Macaca fascicularis: one gene and its partners. The protein of the gene in region 1 interacts with the protein of each later gene in a biochemical or structural test. Links are inferred from orthologs where the notes say so. Each region holds a gene or a part of one and is shown in the gene's direction. Other genes may lie near its edges. The genes, in order: FRMPD4, SNTB1, SNTA1 and DLG3.

Region 1 (4,960 bases):
CACTCCAGAGGCAGAGGGCATCCAGTTTGTGGAAAATTCTGTTTATGCAAACATAGGCGATGTGAAGAGCTTCCAGGCTGCAGAGGGGATCGAGGAGCCCCTCTTGCATGACATCTGTTATGCAGAAAACACTGATGACGCAGAGGATGAGGACGAGGTGAGCTGTGAGGAGGACCTCGTGGTGGGGGAGATGAACCAGCCGGCCATCCTCAACCTGTCTGGGTCAAGCGATGACATCATTGACCTCACATCCCTGCCCCCTCCAGAAGGTGATGACAATGAGGATGACTTCCTGTTGCGTTCCTTGAACATGGCCATTGCCGCACCCCCACCTGGCTTTAGAGACAGTTCAGATGAAGAGGACTCTCAGAGCCAGGCAGCTTCCTTCCCCGAGGACAAGGAGAAAGGCGGCAGCCTGCAAAATGATGAGATCCCCGTGTCCCTCATTGACGCTGTGCCCACCAGCGCCGAAGGCAAGTGTGAGAAGGGACTGGATAATGCCGTTGTCTCCACGCTGGGAGCTCTAGAGACTCTATCCGTGTCAGAAGAACAGCAGACCAGTGACAATTCAGGTTCTTTCACAATTGTTACATTCATTCACTGATAACCATATCATTCCATCCTTCCAAGCCATTTGCCCTTGGAGTTCTGTTACATGGTGTTCTCCATTTCACAAATGTCCCATTTCATAAACGTGCTGAAACTGCCATCATAGGTTTTTTTGTGTGTATGTGATTTCTTTTGTTGTTACTTTTTTAAAAACATAAGGCACATCTCCCCCACCCCCACCCCCATTTCTGGAAAAACTGCAATAAACTCAGAGTCCTTACTGAAAAGGGAAAAACTTGGTATTTTGTTTTAGTAATAACGGGTCCCATTTTCTTACATGTCTCCAAGTGCCTCTGATGCATCCATTAATCAGTTCTTGTTTTTTACGGCATGCAGGTGTAGCCATCTTGCGGGCTTATAGTCCTGAGTCTTCGTCAGACTCGGGCAATGAAACTAACTCTTCTGAAATGACTGAGAGTTCTGAACTGGCCACAGCACAAAAACAGTCAGAAAACCTCTCCCGCATGTTCTTGGCCACTCACGAAGGCTACCACCCCCTTGCAGAAGAGCAGACTGAGTTCCCGGCCTCCAAGACCCCCACTGGGGGCTTGCATCCAAAGTCCTCGCACACCCTGGCTGCTAGGCCAGCAACTGACCTCCCGCCCAAAGTTGTGCCTTCCAAGCAGTTACTTCACTCAGACCACATGGAGATGGAGCCTGAAACCATGGAGACTAAGTCAGTCACTGACTATTTCAGCAAACTGCACATGGGGTCGGTGGCATACTCCTGCACTAGCAAAAGGAAAAGCAAGCTGGCCGATGGTGAGGGGAAGGCACCCCCTAATGGGAACACAATAGGAAAAAAACAGCAGGGGACCAAAACGGCAGAGATGGAGGAGGACGCCAGTGGTAAATTTGGTACTGTGTCTTCACGGGACAGTCAACACCTGAGCACTTTTAACCTGGAGAGAACTGCCTTTCGCAAGGACAGCCAAAGATGGTATGTGGCCACTGAAAGCGGGATGGCTGAAAAAAGTGGATTAGAAGCAGCAACGGGGAAAACCTTTCCAAGAGCTTCTGGTCTTGGGGCAAGGGAGGCTGAAGGGAAGGAAGAAGGAGCTCCTGATGGAGAAACCAGTGATGGCTCAGGACTTGGTCAAGGGGACCACTTCTTAACTGACGTGACCTGTGCATCTTCAGCCAAAGACTTAGATAACCCAGAGGACGCTGACTCGTCCACCTGCGACCATCCTTCCAAGCTTCCTGAGGCTGATGAGAGTGTGGCCCACCTTTGTGACTACCACTTGGCCAAGCGGATGTCATCGCTGCAAAGCGAGGGCCATTTTTCTCTGCAGAGCTCCCAAGGCTCTTCAGTGGATGCAGGCTGTGGCACGGGCAGCAGCGGCAGTGCCTGCGCCACACCCGTGGAGTCGCCGCTCTGCCCCTCCCTAGGGAAGCACTTGATTCCTGACGCTTCTGGGAAAGGCGTGAATTACATTCCTTCAGAGGAGAGAGCCCCTGGGCTTCCCAACCACGGAGCCACCTTTAAGGAACTGCACCCACAGACAGAAGGGATGTGTCCACGAATGACAGTGCCTGCTCTGCACACAGCCATTAACACCGAACCCCTGTTTGGCACATTGAGAGATGGATGCCATCGGCTCCCCAAGATTAAGGAAACCACAGGTACAGCAATGATGGATTTAGCACTTTGTATGACATGCCAGGAGCATGTAAACCATATTTACAACAAACTTACAAACGTAAAGTCTGGAAGAAAAGTAAAAGGTAGAATTTAAAAGGCCACAGAACAGTAAAGTACCAATCATTGATCCCCTAATATTTAATAAATACTAAAGATTACAAAGGTGAAAATGGCATTTGCGCTTTATAATCTTGCTCTGTGTTTGCTTTCAGAATTTGATGGAGCAATATGTTTTTTTCCTAAATTCTAAATGCAGATGTTTAGCAATGCCCAGTGTGACTTTTAGTTATATGATAGTATTGCTTAGAGTCACATACCAGTTTGATTTTCTTCCCAAGACATCTGATTTCTAATTCTGCCATTTCATTATTGAGGGACAAAGAAGAATAAGAGAGCAGGGTATCAGGGAGATTGGAGGGGTTTGGAGAGATTATTTGCCTTTCAGCAATCTTACTGACTCCTCCCTACTCTGACATACCCCAGTGTCAGGAAGATTTTGAGGTTATGTCTGATGAGCTGCTTTATTTTCCCCAAAATAATAAAGTGTAAACACACATAGAAACAAGAACACATCCACCTTCTGTATCCCACCTTCACTACTCCACCACTCAATGGTATGCATTCCCCTCACTGATCCACTTGGCTGGTCATTATATGGCAAAAGCAGATACTCTCTCATATTTTCATATTTCAAATTATGTCATCAATAGTGTCTTTTTCATACAGGTCAATAGAAGTTAGTGAGATCTTATATTGGTCATTTTCTATTCCTGTTCTTTTAAGATTTTCTACTTTCTCAAAACCCACCACTGGCTTTACCTGCCTTGGAAAAGTTATCTGTGAATATTACCTAACTCATCACCCAACTGCATATTTACCTCTAAACTAACTAAGTCACACTGTTTAATCTTTCATGATTTATAAAGAACTTTCACCTGAGTTACCTCTTGCTTCTCACAAATATTCTGTGAGATGGGGATTATTTGCTTCACATGACAGCTTTTCTTAAACAAACAAAAAAAAAATGTTGAGCAACTGGCCCAAGGTCTCAACTTCAGACTTTGTACCAGGCAAACCTCATGCTGTCCTCTTAAAAAGATTCACTTATTTAATTTGCATTAATTAAATTAGGCCACTTCTTTAAAAGAAAGAAAGGAAAGAAAGAAAAAGAAAGAAAGTAAGGAAAAGAAAAGAAAGAAAGAAACTGATGCCAGGTTTAACTTAATTCCCTTGAAATGAAACTTAGTATCTTCAATATATTTGAATAATCTATACATAGTTATTTTCTGTGTCTAAGCTTGATAGATAGATATTGGTAGCAAGGCAATTCATGAAATCCCTGAAAATGTTTGGGATTTCTAGACAATTTCAAATGAATCAGCAGTTCCAGAAATAACAGATTCCAGTATTTTCTTGATATTCATTAAAATGGAAATTTGTTATGAGATATCAAGATGCAGCCTTTGGAAAGCAGGGTGACCTTAGCATACGGCAGCCCTTCCAGACTACATCCTTGAGAAATGACAGACATCATGTAGAGATGTAGTAAAAATGGCCTCCCAGGAGATGCTTAATGATTCTCTCTGTTTTTCTACTACCCCTAGTGTAGCTTTGACAGAGCCTGGGAAGGAGAGACGAGGAGGCATGCCTTCAGCTTGGTCTCAACATCCTGAAGCTGATCCCATCCTGCTACCATCAAACATTCACTCGGAATCAAAGGTGCCAATTCCAAATCAAGACCCTAATGATTTCTCCCAAGCAAATCAGGCATATGGAGAGGCTGTGAGCTGGCGGCCACCGGATCTGAGAGGGGGAAGCCTCAGGACACCCCCCAGCCAGAAGGCTCTGAGACATAGCAGCAGTGTCCTCTCCGGATCTGTCGATTTGGAGACCTTCCGAGAGAGAACCAAGGGTGCAGTCAGCTTAAAGTGTCCAGGCATCACAGAAGCACAGGAGGCCAGTTCTGAAAGGCGAGCAGAACTCCCCCTGGGGAGGAAGCTCACCAAAAGTTTTTCCCAAAGCTCGATGCACTTGAGCTCCGAGGGGAGGTTTCACAAAAGGTCCCCAGTGGCTCATAAAGACTCAAAGCTGTATAGGACATTACCCTTGCGGAAGCTGGAGGGCAGCAATTGGAGATGCCGGGGACCCTTCAGCTATTGCTTCCTGAACCGAGGGCAGGATGAAGATGGTGAGGAAGAGGAGGAGAGAGGAGAGGCCACCGTCCAGGTCGCTTGCCTCTATAGACCACAGATGACTCAAGCCACGCCAGAACCAAGCAGCCCATGTCTGGCTGTGGCAATTCAGAAGCAAGGAGGGGAGCTATCCAGAGGGTCAGTGCTGAAGGTCTGGGCAGAAGACCTGCGAGGCCCAGATGACTTGGACTTCAGCAACCTGGCTTTTGATGCCCGGATTGCAAGAATAAATGCCCTAAAGGAGAGCACATATGCAATGCCTGATGGGTTCCTTGCAGCCCAAAATGATGCCAATGAGCTGCTCTGTCTCGTCAGGGCAACAAAGGAGAAGAAAGAGGAGTCACGCCCTGAAGCATACGACCTTACACTTTCTCAGTACAAGCAACTGTTGTCCATTGAGTCCAGACAGTTGGGAAGTGCCTGTAGGAAAATGGCGATGGCTGAGAAAAGCCCGGAGGAGATGCTCCTAGCTATGACTTCCAGCTTTCAAGTGCTCTGTTGCCTAACAGAAGCT
Region 2 (5,705 bases), on another chromosome or scaffold:
GTAGCTAACAGGCTTTGAAGATTTTCAAGAGTGTAAGGGCAACGGTTAGACTCTCGCAGCTTTAAATCCTGACTCTGCCATTTACTAATTACATGACAGGGGCAGCTTATGAAACCTGAACCTCCCCTTCTTCACCTGTGAAATGGGAATGACGGTAATAGTAAATATCCTCAAGAATTGCTGGGATGATTAGGTTAATATGTGTAAAGAACTTAGAATAGCAGCTGTAATTATGATTCCACTGGAAAGGGCATCTCTGGCTAACATACATGCCTCAGGCCTAATAACTATCTCCTCTCATTCCGATGCAACTTTCAAAAACCAACATACTCCTTCCCATGTAGGTTTGCTTACACAGAAAAAAAAAAAATGTGCTTATCACAGAGATTCTGAGAAATTCCCATCCCAGAGCCTACAGTTTCTTCTGGCAAATCGATATATTATCTGTGGTTGTGCCTGGGCCTCCCACATTGTTTGGCCACAGAGGCAAGATGCAGGCATGATGTTGATGCAGGATTTCTGGTCCAGGAGTCAATCTGTCTTGATTTGTAAATCTTCACACTGGCACTCTGTTGCCTATCTCAACCTTAGTGTATCTGGATTTCAACGCAGATACTCAGGCTCTGGTTTCACTGAAGAATGATGCACATGAGTCAGTCTCTAAAGCAAGGGGCTAGCCCCAGCTGCTTTTCGGTCCTGAGAGTGGATGGTGATACCACCTGTGTTAGCTCCTTGTCTGATTCTGCATGTCACAAAGGGCTGGAGAGCCCCTGAGGCTGCCGTCCCTGCTGTGGCCACCTTTGCATGAAAGAGTAAAGAGCTTTTTGCAAAATGGGTGAGTTAAAAATATAGGAAGAGGGAGAGCTACAAGCAGAAGCATCAATCCAGGGCACCTTCTCACCTGCAATGACTCCACCTTCTCAAGAAAACGTCCAAATGTTTTCATTTCATTCTTTGACCTGGTTGGGACTCCACTCTTTAGGGAGTCATCTGAGCTTTTAAGCCTCCTTGATTAAGTGTGAGTTATTCTAAAAGACTTAGAGAACTTTCAACGATGATACACATCAATGGGAATGTGTTCAATAAGATTTATTTCAACACCTTGCTGGGTTGGGGTTACTTCAGGAATTAACAGAACTGTGTGTTTTGTTTTGTCTTGTGTTTGGAGACAGGGTAGACCGCAGTGGGAAGGGTACATAATGGAGAATCACGAAATACCTTGAGCGGACCCTGAGACCTGCTTAGAGTTAGGGGAAAACTGGAGAGGTTCAAGGATAGAAGAACTCAGGGTTGTTCAGGTGTGACATGGGTTACGTGGGCATTTCTGGATTGCTCTGGGAAGGTAAACAACCATTATAATATTGTTACCCTGGAAAAATGCAACTTGAAATCCAAATAACTAACTTGCAAAGTAACTTTTGAAATATCACCCATTCCAACTGAATTCTTAAATGGGAGGCTTCTTATATGGGAACTCAGGAAGAAAGAGAGATCCCCAGGCAGCATTTGGTGTGGCACTGGGAAAACAAAGATAGGTCAAAAGCTTAAAGCATAGAATGAGTTACAGCTGGAAGAACATTTGTCCCTGGGGTCCGAGGCAGGCATGACCTGTTGAAAACCCCAGGCCAGCAAAGACACCTGTCCAGGGCTCCATAAAAAATATTTCCTGCATTTAAGGAGAGGAGGTTTAAGGCACTCGGGCTATGTTGAGTCTTCATTCTAGAATCTTGGGACAGCGTATTCCCTTTTAACTCCTGGGGAGTCCAGGGCCTTGGTCTGAGTTTAGCTTCCTCCTAGGAACCCGGGTGGAAAGGAGAGACAGGTAAGAACTCCGCAGAGTCAGGGAAGCCTGGGTTTGAGGAAGCAGAGGGAGGAGACCTGGATCTAGTTACAAAGGAGTTGTAAGACCCAGGGACAATTCTACGTGCTGGGTGTGAAAGGGGAGGGGGCTCAGGAGGACCGAGTGAGGGCACTGAGGCAGGACGCACGCACCCGGCGAAGGTGCGGTGTGGGCGCCCACGGAGTGGGGGAGCTGGGACGAAAGGGGGACTGCGGTGGGCTGGAGAGAAGCGGGACGGGGAAGGCGCTCGGGAAGCTGTCCCCTCGGCGTCGTGCGCTCCGGGGACGGAGGCGGGGAGGTCTGGGCGGGCGAGCGGCGTGTGACCGCCAAGGCTGGGGCGGCTGGAACAGGTGAGCGGCCGCTGGGTTGTGGGTCCCCGCCCTTCACCGCCAGCGTGCCTCCTCCCACGGACTCTCCCCAGCGCTGAGCTGCTCCGCGGCTCCCCTTGGTTTGGGGTTTTGCAACTGGCTGCTGGCTTTTTTCCCCTCCCCTGTCTCGGTCTCTCCTTCTTCTTTTAGGTTGCTCCACCCCGCCCAGGATCAGGAGAGGGGGAACCAGCCTGACTGCGGCTGCCAACTCCCGCCGAGTGCGTCTGCGAACTCCCGGAGCGGAGTCCCGCGTGCCGCCACCTCCTCACGGGGCGCACTCTCCTCGCTCCCCCGGGCCCCGCGTCCTCCCCCCGGCCACCCTTCCCCACTTTTCCCCCCTTTTCCAATCACATGGCATTTTAAGAATGCCGGAAAGATGGCGGTAGCGGCGGCGGCGGCGGCGGCGGCGGCGGCTGGGCCGGCAGGCGGGGGAGGCGGCCGGGCGCAGCGGAGCGGGCTGCTGGAAGTTTTGGTGCGGGATCGCTGGCACAAAGTTCTGGTGAACTTGAGCGAGGACGCCCTGGTTCTGAGCAGCGAGGAGGGCGCTGCGGCGTACAACGGCATTGGGACCGCCACCAATGGCTCGTTCTGCAGGGGCGCCGGGGCTGGGCACACGGGCGCGGGCGGCGCGCAGCCCCCGGACTCGCCCGCCGGGGTCCGCACCGCCTTCACCGACCTGCCGGAGCAGGTGCCCGAGTCCATCTCGAACCAAAAGCGCGGCGTGAAGGTGCTGAAGCAGGAGCTAGGCGGGTTGGGGATCAGCATCAAGGGGGGCAAGGAGAACAAGATGCCCATCCTCATCAGCAAGATCTTCAAGGGGCTGGCGGCGGACCAGACCCAAGCCCTGTACGTGGGCGACGCCATCCTGTCCGTGAACGGAGCCGACCTGCGGGACGCCACCCACGACGAGGCGGTGCAGGCGCTAAAGCGCGCGGGCAAGGAAGTGCTGCTGGAAGGTAAGGGGTTAACCGCGCGCGGGCAGCGCCGGGCGCGCACACACCTGCTCGGCTTCCCACCCGCACGCTCACACTCACACCACACTCGACCACGTGCCGACACACCCCAGGGGGCCGAATGTGTGTGTGTGGGTGGGGGAGAGGGCGGAGGAATTGGCAGCATAGAGTTTTGTCAACTTTTACCCACCCTGGGGGCAATTAGTCTCCAGTCCGCAGGGTTGGCTTTAACCCAGGAGGGGTGTATGGAAAAGCGAGGCTAGCAGGGTTTCCCAGCCGGATTGCTGCTTAGTATACGTTGTTTCATTTTTGTCTGCGAGTAATCCTAGTAGAGTGTAGGGATTGGGATATGGAATCGAGAATGAAGGGTGAACTTAGAATATTCCTACATCCAACGTTGCCAAGCAGGGCTACTGCGTAATTGCAACTCATAGTTTTCCGCTTTGGCAAAATTTCCCACTCTAAAGCCTGGGCAACCCAGCAGAAGAGGATTGACTCATAAAGGGGTGAGAGAGAGGTGGCAATATTGTGAATGCTAAAACTCCGACTATCCTTCTGGACGTTCCCCCTGCAAATGGGGGACTAGGGTTATGCCTGGAGAGTTGTGTCAGGGGCCGGGAAATTCGTTGCAGTTTTGGGGAAAATTCACTTTCCCTGCCGGGCATCTGGCCGGTCAGTCTGGATTCCAGGTTCCTCTGGGTGGAGAGCTGGTGAAGTGGTTTTTCTGGCTGCGTTTTCTGGAGCCCTTTCTGAGTGGTGTGGAAACAACTTTGCATTTGTAAACAGTTCCCCCTGCGTGTGAGGAGCCTAGAAACTACTCTCTGTCTCTCGAGATCTGATGTCCCCAGTCCCCTCATTATTGAATGTGAATAGAATAGGAACCACCTATTTACAGTTTTGCACTGTTCATGGCTATGTTGAGTTATGTCGGGGAGAAGGGCATATTGGTAGTAAACTGAATTCTCCTGTTTGGCTACAGCTGCATTTCTCACTTGTTTCTCTTCTCTTTAGTGCTGTGTACATACCTCTGTCAGCACTAATAACGTGTAATTATTTTATCTATTTACTCAGCCTAGCCTACCTATAGATTGCGGTATCTGGAGTCTTTTATTTAGCGGTGGATCTCTCTTGGAGCTTAGTTGCTCCATGTCATACATACTGAGTAAATGAATAAATGAACCTATAGCTATTGAAATAGACTATTTCATCTGAGACCATGTAATATGGTGATTGATTTAAGCCCTAAAGACGTAAGTCAATTTCCTGCTTACTTAGTCGTGGCACTGGTGTGTGAAACTGAGAAAGTTTAAAGCAAGGGTGCCAGCATCACTAGTGTGTGACAGCTGATGCAACTCCCTGGTATGTCATGGCCCACCTCCTGGCCCACAATACAGAGAAGTTCTCCCCCACCAACCTTGTTTGTCTAGAGGATTTGCGATGTCTTCATAGTCAATTACCACCCTGGACCCAGACAGTGGAAAGCTATTTGCTTTGGCTTGATGATTAACATAACAGGAAAAAAAAGTTTTCTTGACTCCAGTGTGTGTTGGTTTGTGTGACAAGGGTCAGGTGGGATCTGGGGCAAGTGTTATTTGGAATATAAACTGTTGGGCACCTGCTCAGTTTGCAATACTTACTGTAAATACCGGGGTAGGGGTTGGGGGTGGGGCGGAAGGCGGGTCATTTTATTTTAGGTACTATCCTTTATTATGTCCCTACTTTTCTTCCTCTGCTTGCTTTCAATTTAACGAATAATTACTTGGCAAAGAGGTAAAAAATATCTCTCACCCAAAAAGAGGAAGAAATTTCTCTGCAATTGAAAATAAACTTAGAGAAAGAAAAAAAATCAAGCAATTATGTGACTTTCAGTTTCTTGAAACAGAAACTGAAAAGTGAGTTTGGTAAAAACCTCTAACATGACATTCTTAGAACACTTTGTCATTTGTCATAGGCAGGACCTCTGGAGAAACACTGTGGGTCTCCTAGATATGAACATTTTTGGCTCAGTGTAGCAGCCTTATCCTCAGCCCAAGTTTTTCAAAATCAGCTGCTGTTAAGGGAAGCGGAGGCCCTCCTCAGAACAGTGTCTCTTATTCTGAGCCAAAGTGTTCGTTCTCAATGCAATGGTAGTCATCAAATACCATCAAGTCAAATATCACAATCCTCTCTTTTGTAGCTTAGCCTAATACTGGGATTCCCAGTTGAAGGGGCTTATTAGGACCACTTCAAGGGCTTTTTAAAAAGACATACCTACTTCTTCATATTCTAACATGCAGTGTGGATTCCAGAGTTTCTACATAGGAGAGGTTTTGAAGATGTAATCTGGTTACATGACAGGGCAAAGGGAAATGTTTTGAAGGTACATTTGTATAGCAAGTACACCCTTTTTTCCGGCTAGATTCCTTTTTGTTTGTTTATTGGGGGAGTAAATGGAGATTAGTTTAGTACTCCAACCACCGCCCACACGCACCCCACTGCATGACATGCGCCCCCTGGTGGAGAGCTACTACCTCTACGAGTGGAACACCCTGTAAAGTGAAACCC
Region 3 (5,748 bases), on another chromosome or scaffold:
CTCTTCTGCTCCTTTGGAGCTGGCCCTGTTCCCAGTGCCCCGGCTACCTTGCCCCACCCTGGCCCTCTGCCCTCTCTTCCCCCACCCATCCTTACTGCTGTTTTGTCCCCTGCAGCTGCCCAGTGGGGGCACGGCCCCCACCCTGGCCCTGCTGACTGAAAAGGAACTGCTCCTCTACTCTTCTCTCCCTGAGACCCGCGAGGCCCTGAGCCGGCCAGTCCGTACTGCCCCACTCATCGCCACCAGGTACCCATGGGCAGGGGCAGTATGTCTCCCCCAGAACTTGCCGGGAGATGCTCCAGCAGGGCCCCAGAAGCTGGAAACTCCAGCCCTGTCCACCCTCAGCTATTCCCCAGGTGACCTGAAGCAAGTCTCTGCCCTGTCTGGGCCTCAGTTTCCTTATCTGTAAAATGGGTGCTTGGAACAAAAGGACATAAGGTCCCCGCTAGCCACTCATTCATTGACACTTATGCCTTATGCTGCATGGGTCAGAGGGCACAGAGCTGACCCCAACAGTCGCTGCCTCCAGAGAGAACCTTGTCTGATTGGGGAGACAGACCCAGGAACAGCCATTACAGTGCAGAGTTTGTAGGAGCCACTTAACTCTGTAGGGGTAGTTGAGGAACGCTTCAGGGAGGAGGTGACATCTGAGCTGGACTTTGATGGATGAGTAGAAGTTTTCTGTTTAAGAAAGGGTGAAAGAGCATCCCATGCAGAGAGAACATCATGGTCAAAGGTACAGAGGCATGAAGGGCTATAGCGTGTTCATGGGGCTATGAGTTTGTGACAACCAGAATTCATGCAGGAAATGGAGAGAAGGGAGTTGGCAGGGCCTGATCTTGCAGAGCTTCTTTTGCCTGATTAAGGAATGTTAGCTTTATCTTAAGAGTTTGGCAGTGTTGAAGGGTTTAAGCTGGGGAGCGAGGTGCTCTGGTTGCTTTAAGAGAATCCCTGTGGCTGCCACGTGGAAAATGCAGCGGAGAGTGCAGGATGGAAGTGGGGAAGCGCTGCAGTCGTGCAGGAGAGATGATGGTGGCTGGGGGAGGTGGAAGTGGGCGGCAGGAGCAGATGGAGAAGAAAGGCAGCATTGGCATTGGAAACCACATGGGTGTAAAATTAACAGGGCTCCGTGCTTGCCAGATGGGGCGGGTGAAGGAGGGGTCTGGAATGAACAGGAGGTTTGGAGCTGGTGTCTGGGTGAGCGTGGGACTGGGGGTGGGGGTGGAAAGGGAGGAGGCTGGAGCAAGATGCTGAGTCAAGTCCAGAGTGTGTGTGGGATGGAGAGGGAGCTTGGATAGGAAGCTTGGGGACTCAGGGGTCTGCAGCTCAGGGCTGGAAAGTGGAAGGCTGGCGTCAGCAGAAGTCTGGGGGGGAAGTGAGCTATAGGAGAAAGAGTGGGTGAAGGGAGGAACAAAGAGGGATATGGGGCAGAACTCTTAGGTCTGCCCCAGAGAGGGGCAGTTGGCTTACCAAGGCCACACAGCAAGTGACAGTCAAGCTGCAGGGGTCTGAAGTCCTTGTCACCCATGTCTCCTTACCTCAGGCTGGCTCTGGCCCATGTGTCAGGAGCCTGCTGGCTACTAGGGATAATTAGGTCCTGGATTGTCTACCTAATCAAGTGATTCAAGTCAGGCAACAAATGTTTATTGAGCCTCTACTGTGGTCAGGCATAGTTTTACTTAATGGGAATACAGTGGTGAACGCAAGATCAACATTTCTAACCTAGCTGACATCCTAGTGAAAAAGACAGTGAAAAACCAACAAAAACAAATAATAAAAAGTATAATTTCTGGTACCATGATGAAAAAGTAAGGCTAGTGAGTGACAAGGGTGCTATTTTGGACTGGCAGGCCAGGGAAAGCTTCTCAGAGGAGGTGACATTTAAACTAACATCTGAAGGAAGTGAGGGAGTGAGCCATGGAGATAATCAGGTAAGCGTGTATAGGCAGAGGGAACAGCATACGCAGAGGTGCTGAGGCAGGCGTGTGCTAGGTGTGTGTGAGGACACCAGTGTAGCCGGAGCCAAGGGAGCGACAGGGAGGGTGGCAGGAGATGTCTCCTGCTGAGTCAATCAGTGCCCCCTGGCAAGTCCTGTCCTGTTAGGTGGTAAAGGATTTACAGGGTTTTTCCCAGGTCATTGGCCCCTTTGCCCAGAACTATTTGCCCCCTGCCCGAGGCCTCATGCTCAGCCCTCTGCCCCTCACCCCCAGACTGGTGCACTCAGGCCCCTCCAAGGGCTCAGTGCCCTACGATGCAGAGCTCTCTTTTGCCCTGCGCACGGGCACACGTCACGGTGTGGACACTCACCTGTTCAGCGTGGAGTCACCGCAGGAGCTGGCTGCCTGGACCCGCCAGCTGGTGGATGGCTGTCACCGGGCCGCCGAGGGTGTGCAGGAGGTGTCTACAGGTGTGCTGGGAGGATCTGGGAGTGTCCCTCTGGTAATGAGCCTCTTATCCCCAGGGGCATTCAAGCTTCCTTCTTTAGGGCACTTCAGGAGGGGACAGAAAATGGGGTTTGGAGGTTAAGGTGGGTGGATCACCTGAGGTCAGAAGTTTGAGACCAGCCTGGCCAACATGGCAAAACCCCATCTCTACTAATAATACAAAAATTGGCTGGGTGTGGTGCCTCATGCCTGTAATCCCAACATTTTGCGAGGATGAGGCAGGTGGATCACTTGAGGTCAGCAGTTGAAGACCAGCCTGGCCAAAATGGTGAAACCCTGTCTCTACTAAAAATACAAAAATTAGCCAGGTGTGGTGGCGGGTGCCCGTAGTCCCAGCTACTCAGGAGGCTGAGGCAGAAGAATTGCTTGAATCTGGGAGGCGGAGGTTGTAGTGGTCCCAGATTGCACCACTGCACTCCAGCCTGGGCAACAGAGCAAGACTCTGTCTCAAAAAAAAAAAAAAATAATAATAATACAAAAATTAGCTGGGCATGGTAGTAGGTGCCTGTAGTCCCAGCTATGCAGGAAGCTGAGGAACAAGAATCGCTTGAACCCGGGAGGTGGAGGTTGTGGTGAGCTGAGATTGTGCCCGCTGCACTCCAGCCTGGGTAACAGAGTGAGACTGTTTCTCCAAAAAAAAAAAAAAAAAGGAAGTTGGGTTTGGGCCCTCTGTTTTGGATGTGCAGGTGCCCTGGCAGGCAGAGACTCTTCTCCCTGGGGTTTTCTTGCTCCAGCTTTGTCAATCTGCTGGTGAGGATGTGAGAGATGGCACTTGGGGTAGGGTTGCCAGAGGAAATACAGGACACCCAGCCTCATTTGAATTTCAGGTTAACAATGAATACTTTTTTCATAGAAGTATGCCCAAATTAGTCATTGTTTATCTGAAATTTAAATTTAGCTGGGCAACTCTGCAGGTCTCCAAGGGCGGTGCTTGGTCGATCTGATGATGCCTTTATCAGGAGTGAGCCTCCAGTCCATGGCAGATTTTAAGCTCCCCCTTTCTACTTGTGGACTGGAAGTGGGTGTAGGTCCTCTGAGGGTGGGGGTGATGACTCTCTGCAGGGTGGGTGTACAGGTGCCACGACAAACAGTGAGCCTCCCGTCCCTGGAGGCATTCAGGCCCCACTTTGTAAGCTGCGGTGGGGGTTGGAGGTTGGGGTGTAGTGTCTGAGGTGCCAGCTGTGCCTGTACCTATGTGCCCTCCCTGCAGCCTGCACATGGAACGGGCGTCCCTGCAGCCTGTCTGTGCACATCGACAAGGGCTTCACACTGTGGGCGGCTGAGCCAGGTGCAGCCCGAGCTGTGCTCCTGCGACAGCCCTTCGAGAAGCTGCAGATGTCTTCAGATGATGGTGCCAGTCTCCTTTTCCTGGACTTTGGAGGTGCTGAAGGCGAGATCGTGAGTGAGGGGCTGCCTTTGCACCCTGGGGAGGAGGGGGTATGCACTCTTGGAGGCCAGGCTGGCCAGGGCCCTGACTCTTCTCTCCATCCACCCTGCAGCAGCTGGACCTGCACTCGTGTCCCAAAACCATAGTCTTCATCATCCACTCCTTCCTCTCGGCCAAAGTCACCCGCCTTGGGCTATTGGCCTAGAAGTCACCGGATGCGCTAGCCCTGAAGAGGGGTATCCATGACATGGCCTGAGCTGGGCCTCCACCGACTGCCTGCTCACCCCTGGGCTGAGGGAAGGGAGAGGAGAGGAACAAGGGCCTCTGAGACCCCACCCCTGAGGGAGACTGGATTGGTCTTGGGGCCCGGGGCCCAGGACCCAGACCCAGGACAGAGTGGACTCTGCCTGTGATGGGGTGGCCCTCCTGCTGCCCCCCACCACCAGTGCCTTTTGCGGAGAGATATTTTGTGTACACAGAAGCCATTCCGAGTCTGGGACCTGCCCCTGTGCGGATCCTGACCCCAGCCAACAGCTGAGCTGCCAGGCCTCCTCGAGGCCCCTAAGCCACCCCTAGAGGTCCCATCTGAAGCTGGAGTCCCCTGGGGTCAGCGGCAAGAGAAACAAGAGGAGACTTTGTTTGTTTTTCCCCTCAGCCCTGCCACCTTGGGGAGTCTGGTTTTTCTCTTCATCCTCTCTCTCCTCCTTACTCTTGGATAAATAAACAGCCTGTGAGACACAGGCAGCCCGGCCCAGTGTCTGTGGTCTGTGCCTTGGCCTTTGGGTCCTGGGGTGGCCCCTGCAGTCCCAAGATGGACCAGACCAAGGACTGGGGCACCTTTCCCTGGAGAAGAACAGACTTTTACCACATGGGCCAAAGAGAGTGTATTGGTTATCTATTGTTGTGTGACAAATTACCCCACATTTTTACAGCTTAAAATGACAAATATTCATTATCTCTTAGGTTCTGTGGGTCAGGGATTTGAGAGGGGCTAAGCTGGGCTGTTCTTGTCTCAGGGTCGTTCATGAGGTTGCAGTCAAATTGTCAGCTAGGGCTGCAGTCATCTGAAGGCTTGACTGGGGCTGGAGGATCCATTCCAATACTGCTCATGCACATGGCTGTGGGTAGGAGGTCTCCGTTCCTCACCATGTAGGGCTAACCCTAGAGCTGCTGCTTGAGTTTTCTCATGATATGGCAGTTGGCTTTCCCCACAATGAGACAGAAGAGAGAGCAAAGAGGAAGCCACAAACAGTGCCTCTTACGACCCAGTCTTGGAAGCCATACACTGTTGCTTCTGCTTTGTTCTATTTGTTAGAAGTGAGTCACTAAGTTCAGTCCACACTCAAGGGGAGGGGAATTAGGCTCCACTTCTTGAAGAAAGGAATGCCAAATAATTTGTGGATCCATTTTAAAGCCATCTTAGAGAGCTTCAGGACCCTTTCCTGCAGAAGGGAGGTGGAGTGGAATGTGTTTGGTGCTTCGGAAACTGCGATGTGCTGACTGGATGTGAGTGGGTGGTGGTTATGACTCCCTACTAAAATCACGACGACAACAGCAATGATGAATTTTTTTTTTTTTTTTTTTGAGATGGGGTCTTGCTCTGTCACCCAGGTGGGAGTGCAGTGGTGTGTTCTCAGCTCACTGCAACCTCCACCTCCCGGTTCAAGCGATTCTCCTGCCTCAGCTTCCCGAGTAGCTGGGATTACAGGTGCCCACCACTGCCCACCACCATGCCCCACTACTGTTTTGTAGTTTTAGTAAAGATGGGGTTTCACCATGTTGGCCAGGCTGGTTTTAAACTCCTGACCTCAAGTGATCCTCCTGCATCAGCTTCCCAAAGTGCTAGGACACCGCGCCCAGCCCAGAACTTTTTTTTTTTTAACTTTTTTTTTTTTTTTTTTTTTTTTTTGAGGCGGA
Region 4 (4,960 bases), about 65 Mb from region 1:
AAGTATTTAAATAGTGAAAGAATGGTATTTTTCCACACATAGCCGAGTGAAGAATTAGCTTTTTTGTCTTTTTTGAGACGGAGTCTCGCTCTGTCACCAGGCTGGGGTACAGTGGCGTGATCTCGGCTCACTGCATCCTCTGCCTCCCGGGTTCAAGTGACTCTCCTGCCTCAGCCTGCCGAGTAACTGGGACTACAGGCATGCATCACCATGCCCAGCTAATTTTTGTATTTTTAATAGAGATGGGGTTTCACCATGTTGGCCAGGATGGTCTCCATCTCCTGACCTTGTGATCCGCCCGCCTTGGCCTCTCAAAGTGCTGGGATTACAGATGTGAACCATCATGCCTGGCGAAGAATTAGCTTTTTTTAAAAAAAAAACAAAACAAAACACATGTGACTGTGACTTAGGCCTTACAAAATTTTCTGAGATAGAAGAGCCCTGGTCTGAGAGTCACCCAGCATGCAGTTCTAGATGAGGCCGTGTGCATATCTGGGCCTGACTTTCGTTGTCTTTGAGGAAATTTTCCAGCTCTTAGTCAAACAAAATTTCAGCAGGAAAAAGAGGCAAAGTAGATTTAGGGAAAATCCACATCACGGGTTTGGAAAACAAATCAAAGTTACGACAAAGGAATTGTTGAGGGAATTGGGAATGTTTAGCCTGGTAGAGAAGATCTAGGAAAGACCCAGACTCATTAAATGCTAGAGCTGGAAAGAAACTTAGAGAATATCTAAGGGATTTCCTTTATCAGATAGAAAGTTGGACAAAATGACCTCTGAGGCTTTAGCAGTCTGCAAAATTCTTTTTCTATTTGCAGTTCTGATTGATAGAAAAGGAAATTCTTGTTCAATTTTTTTTGCATTCTCAACTGTGAATGATAGTCCAGTTCAGAATCTCAGACCTCAGATACTACATTTCTATGTCTTTTACAAAACCATAGCTTAAAGCATTGTCCATCCTGTTCATATTTCTTCTTCATTCAGCATTCGTAAATTCATCAAACAAAATCCAGATAGACTTGGGTACCATTTTTTATTGGGAAGTTAGAGTTAGACAACTTCCTTTTTTGCCTTGTTTGCCAGGGAACTTAGAACCAAACGTGTTCCTCATCTGAAGTAAATGACTCACACCAGTGCTTGATATATCTGCTTCCCCACTTTTTCTTTTTAATTGACTTAATGTTTTTTGAAAATTGTGAAAGGAACACATGCTGTGCTTAAAAACACAAGCCCGAATAGTACAATTCCCAATGTGCAGAGTTAACTACTGGCAAAATCTTTTTGACTTTGATCTGTGTTTATTTTGTTTTTACTTAGCTTGTGCTATATGTGTTTTAATTTTTTTGTTGTTTTGTTTTGTTTTGTTTTGAAGATGGAGTCTCAGTCTGTCACCCAGGCTGGAGTGCAATGGCGCAATCTTGGCTCATTGCAACCTCTGCCACCCGGGCTCAAGCTATTCTCCTGCCTCAGCCTCCCGAGTAGCTGGGACTACAGGCGCCCACCATCCTGCCTGGCTAATTTTTATATTTTTAGTAGAGATGGAGTTTTGCCATGTTGGCCAGGCAGGTCTCGAACTCCTGACCTCACGTGATCTGCCCACCTCGGCCTCCCAAAGTGTTAGGATTACAGGTGTGAGCCACTGCTCCCAGCCTCCTAAATTCATTTTAACATCTTCCTTCCTTCCCTCACCAAACTAATTTGTGCTTAATTCAAGTTCTGTTCTTTTCCTTACTGTATTTGTTCTAATCTTTGAAACCCATAATAACATCCAGTGTTTCTCATTGTCACTGAGAATGAGGTTGCTTCATGATGCTCTTCTTAGTAGGAGTGACTGACAGAATGTCTTCCTTGCTTTAGGAAATGCAGGACTCAGGCAGTGAAAATGCATTCAGTTTTGATTCTGTCACACATAGCCCAGAATGCACCTCTTGGACAGCACCTCCTTGTCTGCTGCCTCTGCCATTCTCCTGACTGCTTTGAGTGTGTAAACTGAGGGGGAAAAAAGGGCTTTTTGTTAGAGTTTGGGTATTTTCATTTTCAAATCATCTGACACTGATTTTTAAGAACTCTGTTTCAAGAACTTTAAGCAGTAGGTGGGTATTTCACTCTTCATGGTTTTACTACATCCTATCTCATTTGGGCTTGCATATGGTAAGATAGTGTGTTTTACTTGCAACTTCCAACTGAGCCAAAGGCCACAGTATTGCAGGTAGAAGTCGAAGTCTTGGAACTAGATTTTGGGCTGTGTGTGCAAAGGTGTGAAAACACCTCTATTAAGAGAATATGAAGAAGACAGCCTAGATTGCAGATAGAAAAACACAAACTTCTTACTGAAATCACCCATTTGTGGTGACTCTATATAAAGACAGGTTCCACTGGATGTGAAAAGTAGAAACTTTTTTTTTTTTTGGAGACAGAGTCTCGCTCTGTCACCCAGACTGGAGTGCAGTGGCATAATCTCGGCTCACTGCAACCTCCACCTCCCAGGTTCAAGTGATTCTCCTGCCTCAGCCTCCTGAGTAGCTGGGACTACAGGCGTGTGCCACCACACCCAGCTAATTTTTGTATTTTTAGTAGAGATGGGGTTTCACCATATTGGCCAGGCTGCTCTTGAACTCCTGACCACAGGTGATCCACCCGCCTCAGACTCCCAAAGTATAATGGCATGAGCCTCTGCACCCGACCTCGTAAGGCTCTTTTGATGTGTCACTCCTCTCAGATTTCCAGGGGCTGCTAAATCATGTCTATTCAAGGGCTTCCAAAATTTGCCTCAGACCTTTATTTCCAATACCATTTCCTAGGACTTCTAGCAGCAGCCAAGCTGGTGTCCTTTTCCATAAACCTGGATTGTATAGCTCCCTCCCCACCTTCTCCCACCTTCCCTTTTACTTCTTTACTCTGCATCATTTATAGCATGTCACAACAGCATGTCTTGTCAGAAGACCTGGGTTTTGTCCCAGGTTGGTTAGATATGTGATCTAGGTCAAACTATTTTTCCTCACTGAGCCTCTGTTTCCCCATATGTAAGAGAAAGAGACTGCACTTCTAGGGTCCCATTGGTTCTTTTCAACCCTACCATTGTGTGGGTCAGCGTCAGCCTTAGCTTTTTCTTTGGACTCCTGAGGACATAGGGCCCTTTCTTTAGTGTTTCAGCAGTGTTTACCAGTCATTGTTTGGGACTGTAGTTAACATTTTTTTGTCCTGTCTTTAGCTACTTTTTGAAGATATGTTTGTGAACTGAGAAAGCTCCCTGCTAGAGCTAGTTTCCTAGGATGTAGGTGAGGGAGAGGACTGTTGAATGAGTTCTACTTTGAACTTTTGTCTTGCATCCAGAAGCCAAGAGGAAATGGGGTTTGTAAAATATTTTCGCTTATGCTTCTTATTGGGAGAATGAGATGTTTCTTTGAAAGGGAGTGCATATTTACCACTTTGGCACAGAAAGAAGGATGTGGTCTCCTGGAGACATCCTTCTAGTATGCTGTGAGGCTGCTATGTCTGTGCTGTTTGGGTTGGCCTTCCATCTTTTCAAGGTGCCAGTGTCTTGGCATTTAGGGTTGGATGATCACTTCATCTTTCACTGTGCCTTTCAGGGCCCTGTTTGACTACGATCGGACTCGGGACAGCTGCCTGCCAAGCCAGGGGCTCAGCTTCTCTTATGGTGACATTCTTCATGTCATTAATGCCTCTGATGATGAGTGGTGGCAGGCAAGGCTGGTGACCCCACACGGAGAAAGTGAGCAGATCGGTGTGATCCCCAGTAAGAAGAGGTGAGTCATCATGATCATGAGCAAGGCCTTTCCTGCCCTCTTGCTGGTATTTCTTTCTTGTTTTCCTATTAGAAGTTGCTTGAGAGCAACATTTGTGCCTTGCTTCCTTTTTGGTAGAGTCGGTACTCAACATAGTTTTTACTCAGTGAGCCAAAAAAATGGCTGCTGTGCCTGCTGCAACCCACTGCTGGACCATTTACTGGCAGTAACAGGACTTCTTTCTGATTCCAAAACAGGGTAGAAAAGAAAGAAAGAGCTCGATTGAAAACTGTGAAGTTCCATGCCAGGACGGGGATGATTGAGTCTAACAGGGTAAGTGGGGATTCCCAAGGAAATCAGCCAGTAGGTAAAGAGGGGCGAGAAGCTTGGAATTTAGTCTGATGTGTAGGAGAACTGGGGGACACAAAAGAAAATCTCTTTTTCCGGGGGCTGGCTCTGTCCTGTCAGAACATTGACTGCTTTTCAGAAAGCAGAGAGGGAGCTCTTAAAGTCCACAGCTAGTCTGTGCTCCTTCCCCCTGGGTACTGGCTCTTGAAGATGTGTTGGAGTTGGACTGTCTGGAAGGCTGACTTGCTTGGGGAAAATGAAGCCACTCATGGGTGTCTCCCTGGCTATAGATCCTGTCAGAGCATCCAGCCAAGAAGCCCAGTCCCAGAGCTCCCACCTCCCTTCAGACCACCTGAGGCAGGGGGGCTCTCTATTCACCCCTTTTTTTCTATGAGCTTCACAGGCCAAAGAACTTCTGGAGCAGTAGAGGGAAGAGAGACGTGGAGTAGATGACTCTGTGTATATCAGTGGTACCTTAGGGCATGTGTCCAGGAGGCTACAGTGACCTTTGTTCTTTAGGAAGTACAGTGAGTGTTATGAGTCTGGGTTAGGTAGAAACCTCTAACATCCCTACAACATTTTCTTGTAAACATAATTTTCCTCTTACATCAACTTTCATTTAATCTCATAGACTCCATTTGTGAGAGATGGTCTTTTATTTAGCTCACCGTTGTCTCCATTTTAGTTTTTCTTGCATGCTTTAAAATCCATTGTTCTGTTTTTTTTTCTTCTGTCCTTCCCCTCCATCTTCATGTTCTTTCACAGTCGATCAAAAAGAAACGTAAAAAGAGTTTCCGCCTCTCTCGAAAGTTTCCATTTTACAAGAGCAAAGAAAACATGGCCCAGGAGAGCAGCATGCAGGAACGT

The links.
Region 2: the proteins of FRMPD4 (region 1) and SNTB1 interact in a test that uses a peptide from one of them, tested with the Homo sapiens proteins (2 studies listed by IntAct, with this or other methods). The link is inferred for Macaca fascicularis from reciprocal best matches to the Homo sapiens genes FRMPD4 and SNTB1.
Region 3: the proteins of FRMPD4 (region 1) and SNTA1 interact in a test that uses a peptide from one of them, tested with the Homo sapiens proteins (2 studies listed by IntAct, with this or other methods). The link is inferred for Macaca fascicularis from reciprocal best matches to the Homo sapiens genes FRMPD4 and SNTA1.
Region 4: the proteins of FRMPD4 (region 1) and DLG3 interact in a test that uses a peptide from one of them, tested with the Homo sapiens proteins (2 studies listed by IntAct, with this or other methods). The link is inferred for Macaca fascicularis from reciprocal best matches to the Homo sapiens genes FRMPD4 and DLG3.

Annotation. Positions count from the first base shown.
Region 1 is NC_088395.1:12,491,232-12,496,191, forward strand, and holds part of FRMPD4 (FERM and PDZ domain-containing protein 4), read left to right. Parts: coding exon 1-572; intron 573-945; coding exon 946-2,235; intron 2,236-3,858; coding exon of another isoform or gene 3,859-3,863; coding exon 3,864-4,960. UniProt on the Homo sapiens protein: Positive regulator of dendritic spine morphogenesis and density. Required for the maintenance of excitatory synaptic transmission. Binds phosphatidylinositol 4,5-bisphosphate.
Region 2 is NC_088382.1:130,428,366-130,434,070, reverse strand, and holds the start of SNTB1 (beta-1-syntrophin), read left to right. Parts: upstream 1-2,381; 5' UTR 2,382-2,584; coding exon 2,585-3,164; intron 3,165-5,705. UniProt on the Homo sapiens protein: Adapter protein that binds to and probably organizes the subcellular localization of a variety of membrane proteins. May link various receptors to the actin cytoskeleton and the dystrophin glycoprotein complex.
Region 3 is NC_088384.1:89,418,428-89,424,175, reverse strand, and holds the end of SNTA1 (alpha-1-syntrophin), read left to right. Parts: intron 1-115; coding exon 116-246; intron 247-2,210; coding exon 2,211-2,407; coding exon of another isoform or gene 2,408-2,439; intron 2,440-3,654; coding exon 3,655-3,842; intron 3,843-3,943; coding exon 3,944-4,036; 3' UTR 4,037-4,582; downstream 4,583-5,748. UniProt on the Homo sapiens protein: Adapter protein that binds to and probably organizes the subcellular localization of a variety of membrane proteins. May link various receptors to the actin cytoskeleton and the extracellular matrix via the dystrophin glycoprotein complex.
Region 4 is NC_088395.1:77,241,915-77,246,874, forward strand, and holds part of DLG3 (disks large homolog 3), read left to right. Parts: intron 1-3,589; coding exon 3,590-3,766; intron 3,767-4,002; coding exon 4,003-4,078; intron 4,079-4,858; coding exon 4,859-4,958; intron 4,959-4,960. UniProt on the Homo sapiens protein: Required for learning most likely through its role in synaptic plasticity following NMDA receptor signaling.